Linked DNA regions of Xenopus tropicalis. The protein of the gene in region 1 purifies or fractionates together with the protein of each later gene. This does not show direct contact. Links are inferred from orthologs where the notes say so. Each region holds a gene or a part of one and is shown on either strand. Other genes may lie near its edges.

The links.
Region 2: the proteins of irf2 (region 1) and irf2bpl purify together in Homo sapiens (affinity purification with mass spectrometry; 3 studies listed by BioGRID and IntAct, counting the BioPlex papers as one, with this or other methods). This does not show direct contact. The link is inferred for Xenopus tropicalis from reciprocal best matches to the Homo sapiens genes IRF2 and IRF2BPL.

The regions. Positions count from the first base shown.
Region 1 is NC_030677.2:44,876,558-44,881,083, forward strand, and holds the start of irf2 (interferon regulatory factor 2), read left to right. Parts: upstream 1-1,424; 5' UTR 1,425-1,488; intron 1,489-1,875; exon of another isoform or gene 1,876-2,540; intron 2,541-4,526. UniProt on the Homo sapiens protein: Specifically binds to the upstream regulatory region of type I IFN and IFN-inducible MHC class I genes (the interferon consensus sequence (ICS)) and represses those genes. Also acts as an activator for several genes including H4 and IL7.
Region 2 is NC_030684.2:82,572,545-82,577,092, forward strand, and holds the start of irf2bpl (interferon regulatory factor 2-binding protein-like), read left to right. Parts: upstream 1-1,512; 5' UTR 1,513-1,717; coding exon 1,718-3,790; 3' UTR 3,791-4,548. UniProt on the Homo sapiens protein: Probable E3 ubiquitin protein ligase involved in the proteasome-mediated ubiquitin-dependent degradation of target proteins. Through the degradation of CTNNB1, functions downstream of FOXF2 to negatively regulate the Wnt signaling pathway.

The DNA.
Region 1 (4,526 bases):
AAAAAAAAAACAAAAATTGTACCCCCATATAGGGTACCCAAGACAATAATTTTAAATAGAATAAGGGTTTGCACACAAACAATTTTAATTACAAAATTACAGAAAATAACACATAAAGTTGTAAGATAATACATATCACAAAAATGTGCATAGGCAATTCCCTTGAGAAAGGCTCTTTGCCAAAACATTGGGGCAATTCTCATCTTTGGCAAGTGTATCCGCTAACCTGTGTGTCTCTTTTTGCCTGTGCACATTTTTGTGGTATGTATCATCTTACAACTTTATGTGTTTTGTAATTAGAATTGATTGATTGAAATTGGTAGCCAGAAAAAAATATATCCAGGGTGGTACTACCTGTTTCTGGTTAATGACAAAAGGTAAAATGATTTAATGGTAAGCACAGAAAAAAAAATTGCATGGACCAGGGACAATGGCAATGGCCATCCTCCATTTTAATACTTCTGAAACTTAGTGGAGGCAAGATATGAGAATTTCATCTACACACACCCAGGCAAAGAAGGGACTATTCTTCATAAGAAATTATCAGCATCATTCACCCTAAGAAATAAAGTACTATAAAATGCTCCTTGTGGGAAAGGGGAAATGCATGTCATTAGGGAAAATGTATTTAGTTAGATTTTGATGCAAAATAGGAAGGCCTTGCAGCTTCAGTGTGATAAACTGAATATTGAACTGAGCAATAAAATCAGTGTTACCAAATCAGATCAGTTACATATTTAGGCCACTGGCCTACAAACTAACAGGACACAATAAAGAAAAACACTGGTCAGACTAGTACTGGGAACAGTAACCCATAGCAACCATTAGCAAATCCCTTTTTCTTAGCCAGCTTCAGGTAAAACAATGAATGCAAAATTGCGATTGGTTTTAATAATATTTTGCAGGTGCAAATTTCCTTAACGTTGATAAAGAAAACCCTTATTGATTTCTAGTTGAATCTGATTGGGTTTTCCACACTGTGCTAAAGAGTATTTTGTGTACATATACTGACTGGCTAATAGAGCTGCAGACTTGTGTACAGTTATTGACTGAATGTGAAATTAAAGTCTATTTCAGCTATAAATGATGGGGTGATTTGCTTAGGCAGCTAGAGTCCGCCCTTTGTCAGAGCCAGGGGCAGGTTTGCAGCCGCCTCACGCAAACTGCCGCCGCTGTGCTGAGAGCAGCAACAGGGAAGTGAAAATGAAATTGCCTTATTCTGAGAATCTCTGGGCTTGGGGCCGGCCTGGCCAATGGGAAGGCAGCAGCTGCAGGAGCCAGAGAGAAGCTTCCGCACTATAGAAAGCAAACCCTCCCCTCCCTGTCCTTGTGCTGAGTAAACCCGAAACAAACAAATCCAGCATCAGCAGGGAGGGGGGAGAGACTTCTTGCCTGAGCCCTCTCTCTCACACACACTTTTCTCTCCTTGTTTTGCTTTCGATCTGGAGCCGTCACTTTTAGTTTTGATCCTGCGATCATTTAGTGCTGGTATGTAACTTCCATTTTGCACCCCTTCTGGGCAGTATGCACTAGAACTCGCCGAGCGATCAGAGCTGCGGGCAAATGCCAAACTGTAAATGGCTATATGTAATAAGTGTTGTTTGGGCGAGGAGCTGTACAGTGAGGCAGCGGCAGAGAGGCGAGCAGGGAGCTGCTGTGTAAAGAGAAATGAGCAGAATAGGGCAGATCGGAAGGGCTGCTGGGGCAGGAGGCAGACTTTTATTTTCACTTTTGGATTTGGGGGGGAGGGGGTGCTTGTGCTTTGGGTGAGTCCGGCCTGGCAGGATAAGATGGGGAATGAGATCATTGCTGGGCTGTAGGCAGAGAATTGTAGTTCTTTCCCGAACAATTTACTGCACTGGTGTATTCACCACCGCACTGAAACCTTCATATGGAGAATTGCTGTAGGGCAGTCCGTGTGTACGCAAGCCTGCATGCCCCCCATTATTATTACATGTAATTTGATTGCTCGCCCAGCTGACTTTCTGCTATTTACGGCATTGATGTAAACGCCTTTAAAATAGCCCCCCGGTGGGTAAGCCAGTGAGATTGTGTTGCAGGCAGGAATGTCTGCGCATTTCCAGCTGCTGCACAACTTCCACAGCTACCCCACTCCGAGTTGCAGTGTAACAGCAGCCGGGGGGCCGCACATTCCTGCATACAGCAGCCTGGCTGGGGGAAACGTTGTGTAGGGAAACTAGTCGCGGCTTGGGGGCTTCCGTAACTACAATTCCCAGGGATCCCTTTGGGTCACAGAGATCAGAAGACGTGTTGCAAAGTGTGATAGCTTTCTGGGGCAAGGGATGGGGTTGCGTTCTTGCTGCTGTTATGGCTACTGAGGCGAGTCATCTGTGCTTAGAATTCTCGGGCGCCATTTCAGAAGCAAGCATCTTGTGATCCACGTATGGCTCTTCAGCCCCAGCAAGCAGGGAAGATGGAGCTGCGTACATAGGCTGCATACCCTGTTATTGCATTGCCTACGGGCCGATCCCGGGTGTAGTCTCTCGGCGCGCAGGCCTGCCCACTGGCCTCCATTTTGAGTGAGTCCCAGGCCCCGCCAGCAGCGCACGTAGAGTAATGTACAATACCCGGCACGGTTCCGTTGCTATGTGGCAAGACAGGCTACCAGCCTGGAACACGCACAGGGAATGTGTAAGCCTCAGGGGCTGTGCCTTTTGGCATTAGCTTTTGAGAAAGACAAACTAATTAAAGTGCAGTTGTAGTTGTTTTTGCCATCTCCGTGTATCCAAGTTATCTTTCCTCAAGGGAAATTAATATATATATTTACCAATGTCCATACTGCCATGGCCACACTATGGTTCTGTCGCTATCTCTGCTGCTGTTTGTGTGAAGATAATTTATTTTATCTTAAGACTGTATCTGCTACCAGTGTACATGCTCATGTATTTATGTTGCTTTGCGGTATCCCTGCTGTGGCCCCTGCCCTGGCACTCCTGAAGGTTTGGCATAAGGGCCGGTTTGAGGGCAAGGCAATACAGGCCCTAAGGGTATGAGAAGGTAGCAGTACTGCAGCTCTTATCCCACAGTCCTTATTTGTTAGTGTCATGGCAAATGCAACCTGCAGCCTTTCCTACAACTCCTGGTAACCAATCCTGATAGATTAACTTCAGCCCAAACTTCAGTTGCCCTGTAGTTAGGACACTGATTTAACTTTTTCAAAAGTGTCAGAAAAACATGAAAAAGTAGGGTTATTGTAGAAAAATACCTATGGTTATGTTTTTTTAGCCAACACTATACCTATAGTTTTTGAAGAGGCGGAGATTACTTAGCTTAATTGTAACCTGTCTCAGGGTGGTAGGAAAAACTGTGGGGACATTTGGTTTTGTTTGTTTCTGTGTGTGTTGAGTATTTAATTCATCAGTTCTGTTTAAGTTACTGAATAGTCAGCCTAATTACAATAGCAAAGGCCCAAATGTTATATTTAGGTAGTATGGCAGTAAAAACTGTATGGAATTGTTGTGCTGCCTGTCAAAACAATGAAATTGATGTGCCTCAGGTTACAGCCTTCTGTTATGGTATCAATTCTAAGAATGCAGGCTGCAAGGAGGAACTTGGAAAGTCTGTTCAGGGGAAAAATCTTGCTGTTCTTTGGAGGGATTGCAAAAGCACTATGCATCCATGCAATTAAATTGAATATTTTATTTAGTTGGGCTTTAGTTGACCTTTAACTAACCTGTAAGGCCAATGGCACACGTTGTGATTCTAGGTGATTTGCTTGGGTGATTTAATAGCTCCAGAGACTGGGGGGGTTAATCCTATTTCTCGTTGGTTTAAACTGCAGTTGCATGGAATTTTGGGTGTATATGCAGGTTAAATAGTTACATGCACTATTACCTCAAACTTAAATGTATCTGTCCCTGTAAATTAAAGTTATAACATAAACACATCATCATAAGATAATTTACTGATAATTGTCTCTACGTGTGTTTTAGCAGAGGCAATTCTTAGTATTGTCTATGGCAAGGTATTTTCTGGAGTTAAGGCAGTGGCATACGGGGAGATTAGTTGCTCTGCAACAAATCTTCATTGCCGCGGGTGACTAATCTCCCCACAATGCCATCCCACGGGCAAGAATATAAATCGCCGGTGTGGTGGCATATGCGTTGCTATGATTTCCCAAAGTTGCCTCTCAAGGAACCTTCGGGCGACTTCGGGAAACCGTAGTGATGCGTATGCCATCCCACCAGCGATTTACATTCTAGTCGGTGAGATTAGTTGCCCGCGGCAATAAAGATTTGTTGCGGGGCGACTAATCTCCCCGTGTGCCACTGCCCTTAAGTAACTGTAAAAAAGTAGCTGCTACTAGTAGCTCTGTGTGTCTTCACCTTAAATTCTAAAGTCATGTATCTTTTACTGAAATATATATTTACTCTCATTTTGTAAGGCTTTTTGGCCCCAGTCATAATTGTTTTTGGTTGATGCAGAATGCATGTCAAGGTGTATGAATGCATTAGTTTTATTTATATAGCACTGCTTACGTATGCAGCACTGTACAGTACACAGTA
Region 2 (4,548 bases), on another chromosome or scaffold:
GCTGCTGATTGGTGACATTATGGAGCAGATTGCTTATGTCACGAGGTAGGGACTGGGAGGTTCTGTGGCAATCAGGGGGTGGGGAAGTGGGAGGATTGGTGCATCATCAGGGACTGAAAGCTGTGGGAGAGGTGCTGGAAGGTTTAAGGGAGGTGACAGACGGGGAGATTAGTCGCCCCACGACAAATCTTTGGTGCTGCAGGCGACTAATCTCCTCACAATGCCATCCCACCAGCAAGAAAATTAATTTGCCCATGGGATGACATATGTGGTGCAGCGATTTCCGGAAGTTGCCCAAAGTTTTCGCTTAAGGCAACTTCAGGCGGCTTCCGGAAATTGCAGCGACGCGTATGCCATCCCACCGGCGATTTACATTCTAGCCGGTGGGATAGCATTGCGGGGAGATTAGTTGCCCGCGACAAAGAAGCTGGGCGACTAATCTTCCCGTGTGCCACTGCCCTAAAAGGCAATGTTTAGTTGTGAAATACTCTGGGAAGTAAATTCACTAAATTATTAATTTACCACCAACTACACTGTAATTTGTAATATCGGCCCCAGCTCTAGGTGGTGAAATACCTGCCTAGGTGCAAATCACATTAAGTAGGTGCAGGGGGGGGGGGAATTCCCACAGCAAAAAGCAATTTAAATTGACACATCTGCAATGATGCATTAAAATAACAAAAGGTTCCCTTTATTAATTATTATAAAATTATACTGTTAAAACCATAAGGTAAAAACAGCAGATTACAAGACATCAAAAAAGCAGCATAAAATATTCATCACACAGCAACCAAAAAGACTCTCAAAAGCTTCTGTTTAATTATTTCAGCTTTAAAGGAACAGCCCAAAATAAACGACTGTTTTAAAGTAATTCTTTAGAAACACTTTCATTCTCCGGTGGTCCTGTTCCTTTAAGCTGCCTACTATATTAGCTACTGTTTGGCCCACACGCTTTACAAAATATATATGACTAGACAACGTTATCGCGTCTATAACCCACCTCACCCCTCTCAAACCAAAAACACATACAATACACAGCCTTTATTTATGTGCAGCCACAAAGCAACGATCCTAAAGAATTGTCCATGTAAGCGCTTTTACTAGCACGCGTTCCATTTCAAAGGAGTGTGCCGGCAACTATTAGTCTCACACGTCACCGTTTGCACTGTTTTGTATTTCACTGCGTGTCACCATTTTGTTCAACCTCAGAACAGAATTTTCACACAGCAGCCCGCTGCTAAGCGAGTCACGTGATAGGAACACCACGTGTGCAGAGCGCAGAAGAGCAGAGAGGGCGGGGAAGTTGTGCGGACAGGCCCGGGACTCAACAACATGTTTGTCAGTGGGGGCGGGGGAGTGACGTCAAAGCCAGGTGGCATTCTTGGACTTCGTCATTACGGTGCAGTTTAGAGACGCGCACGCACTCGCGGAATCCCAATCCTGCGTGACAGAGTGTGCGCGTTCGTGTGAGTGCGCGTTCCGGGCGGGCTGCGGCTTGCGGATAGAGCGACAGTCGGAGAGAGCACGCCCGGAGAGGAGAACGGCGGAAAGACAGGCGAAGAGCCCGGAGAAGCGTGCTAACCGGCTTTCTGTGCACCCAGCGTCTCCTAAATAGCATCCGGATCGAGCAGAAAGAGCTATCAATACCCTTCACCGCATGCTCCCCCCACGCTGAGTATTCCTTCCCCTCCCCTGTGTTGAGCCTTCGCTCACCAGCATGTCGGCCGCACAGGTCTCCTCCTCACGCCGCCAGTCGTGTTACCTGTGTGACTTGCCACGGATGCCATGGGCTATGATCTGGGACTTCACTGAGCCAGTTTGTCGCGGCTGTGTCAACTATGAGGGGGCAGATCGAATAGAATTTGTCATTGACACTGCTCGGCAACTGAAACGCAGCCACAGTTTCCAGGATGGTCGTTCACCTGGACCCCAGGGCCCCGGCTCAGGAGCAGCCAACAAACAGCACCCAGCTGTGCAGGCAGCCCTCACAGCAAAAGATACTGCCCAGCTAAACCATTTAGATGGGGCTACTAAGGCAGCAGCTGCCTCTGGGCTGGAGAGATACGGATTGGCCACAGATCGAGGTCGCTTCGAGTACACATTAACTGCTCGGCTTCCCAATGGCCTTAATGGGTTCCCCAAGCCAGGGGAGGATGGCCCCCCAGAGCTGAACAGGCAGAGTCCCAACTCACGCGGCCGAACAGGTCATGGGCTAATCCCACAACTGGTGCCAGGGCAGCTGAGTGTGCCTCCTAATCTTCTACCCCAGACCCTTCTTAATGGACCACCATCAGGCACTCCATCAGGAGCTCCTCATGTTCTGGGAAGGGGTCCTGCAAGTTCCAGTGGCCTAAGTGTTCCACCTACAGCCTCTTCATCTGGTGACCCCAAGCGTCCAGGATCTGTATCTAGTACTGACCAGGAGCGAGAGCTCAAGGAAAAGCAGCGAAACAGTGAGGCTCTTTCTGAACTGACAGAGAGCCTACGTAATAGAGCAGAAGAGTGGGCAGGGAAGCCTAAAGCAGTGAGAGATGCATTGCTCACTCTATCTGCCTGTACACCCTTTGATGTTCGCTTCAAAAAGGACCACAACTTGCTGGGGAGAGTCTTTGCATTTGATGCTGCATCAAAGCCAGGCCTGCTGGATTATGAATTGAAACTGTTTGTTGAATATCCCAGTGGCTTACTTAATGTGTTTAGTTCTGCCTCTGGTGTAGCCAAACAAATGTATCAGGACTGCATGAAGGACTTTGGTCGTGGTCTGTCATCTGGTTTTAAATACCTGGAATATGAGAAAAAGCATGGTTCTGGAGACTGGCGTTTGCTTGGGGACTTGCTTCCAGAATCTGTGCGCTTTTTTAAAGAAATGGTAGGGGCCGATATGTTACCCCAACCCTACCTTGACCCTGGGTGTCCCATGCTGCCCAGCGCACTTGTAAATCTGCCACGGGCACTGGCTGCAGCTGCAGCTGCCTCATCATCAGCTGGTGGCAGTGGGCAGGCCAGAAGTGGTGTAAGGAAACGCAAACCCTCCCCAGAACCAGACTCAGCCGATGGACAAATGTGGATAACTGGGCAGCCTGATGGTATAAAACAACTAAGCATGGCAGCTGCAGGAGGCACACCATCTTCTTCATCTGCAGCCTATGGTGTACCTTCTGTTCCTCCCCCACCGCTAGGCCCTGGCCACCCACAGCGCACAACCCCACCTGAGAGTGCACCTCCAAATGGTCCATCTCCTATGGCAGCACTTCAGTCAGTTACAGACACTCTGGGCACTGCCCACTCCCCCAAGGATGGGCAGACAGGTGGTGTACCACCAGTTCACTCCACCACTTCATCAGCCCGCAGAAATAGCAGCAGCCCAGTTTCACCTGCATCGGTAACAGGACAAAGACGTCTTAACTCCCGCAATGGTGCAGGTTCAGCAGACCTGAGTCTTCAAGTGGCACCTGCTGGGGGTGCCCCTCATCCTGGAATGGACCAAGTGCATCCCCAGAATATTCCTGATTCCCCCATGGCTAACAGTGGCCCTCTGTGCTGCACCATTTGTCATGAGCGTCTAGAGGACACACACTTTGTCCAGTGTCCATCTGTGCCCAGCCACAAATTCTGCTTTCCCTGTTCTCGTGACAGCATTAAAGCCCAAGGGGCAACTGGTGAAGTCTACTGTCCCAGTGGGGAGAAGTGCCCCTTAGTGGGTTCTAATGTACCGTGGGCATTCATGCAAGGGGAAATTGCCACCATCCTGGCAGGGGATGTCAAGGTGAAAAAGGAGAGGGACCCTTAGGAACTCCGGTAAATCATGGTCACCTGTTCTGTGCAAGGGGTCCCCTGCCCCTTTTGTGTATATGTTCAGCTCCCCACCAATAACCTGCAAACCAAAGACAGGTTCTAATGGATGGGGATTTGTGAGAGAAAAGAACCAGAATGTTGCTCTGCAAAATGGAATGTAATGAGGCAAATCTTTCCCTTTATCCCTAACACATTCCCAAAATGCCTCCATGTGGAAACATACTAAAGGAACCTACTGGTTTGCAGATGTAACTTTGAGAGCAGGACACCTACAGTGTGCAGTGAATCGGTTACTGGCATTAGGGAATTGTTTGAAGAGACACCATAAAACTCAATGGTTTTTAATCTTTGGCCTCCAAGGGGTAATGCAGTGACATTTGTAATTATCATGGAAATACAGACATGCCTAAGGAATGAGCACTAGAGCACCCAAGAATACTCCAACCACTTAACCAAATGGCAAGAGGCATGTTGGTGGGTGCAAGTTGCTCTCTCGCACAGCCTTATGCAGAATCGAAGGGTGACTCTTGGGCAGAACAACATTTATAAACTTAGTCTTACTTATACAACAATTTTGTGGTGTTTCTACATTTGGAAACACAGATAATGTATACTTCATTTGAAGGGTGCAACAAATGATTTTTGGTTACAGTGGGATATCTGTCCTTGTATCTTTTTTTTTTTTTTTTTTTTTCTTCCTGTTTATTTTTTGTCTTTTCTGAACAGCTTTTGTGGCAGTGTCCACCCGATAAA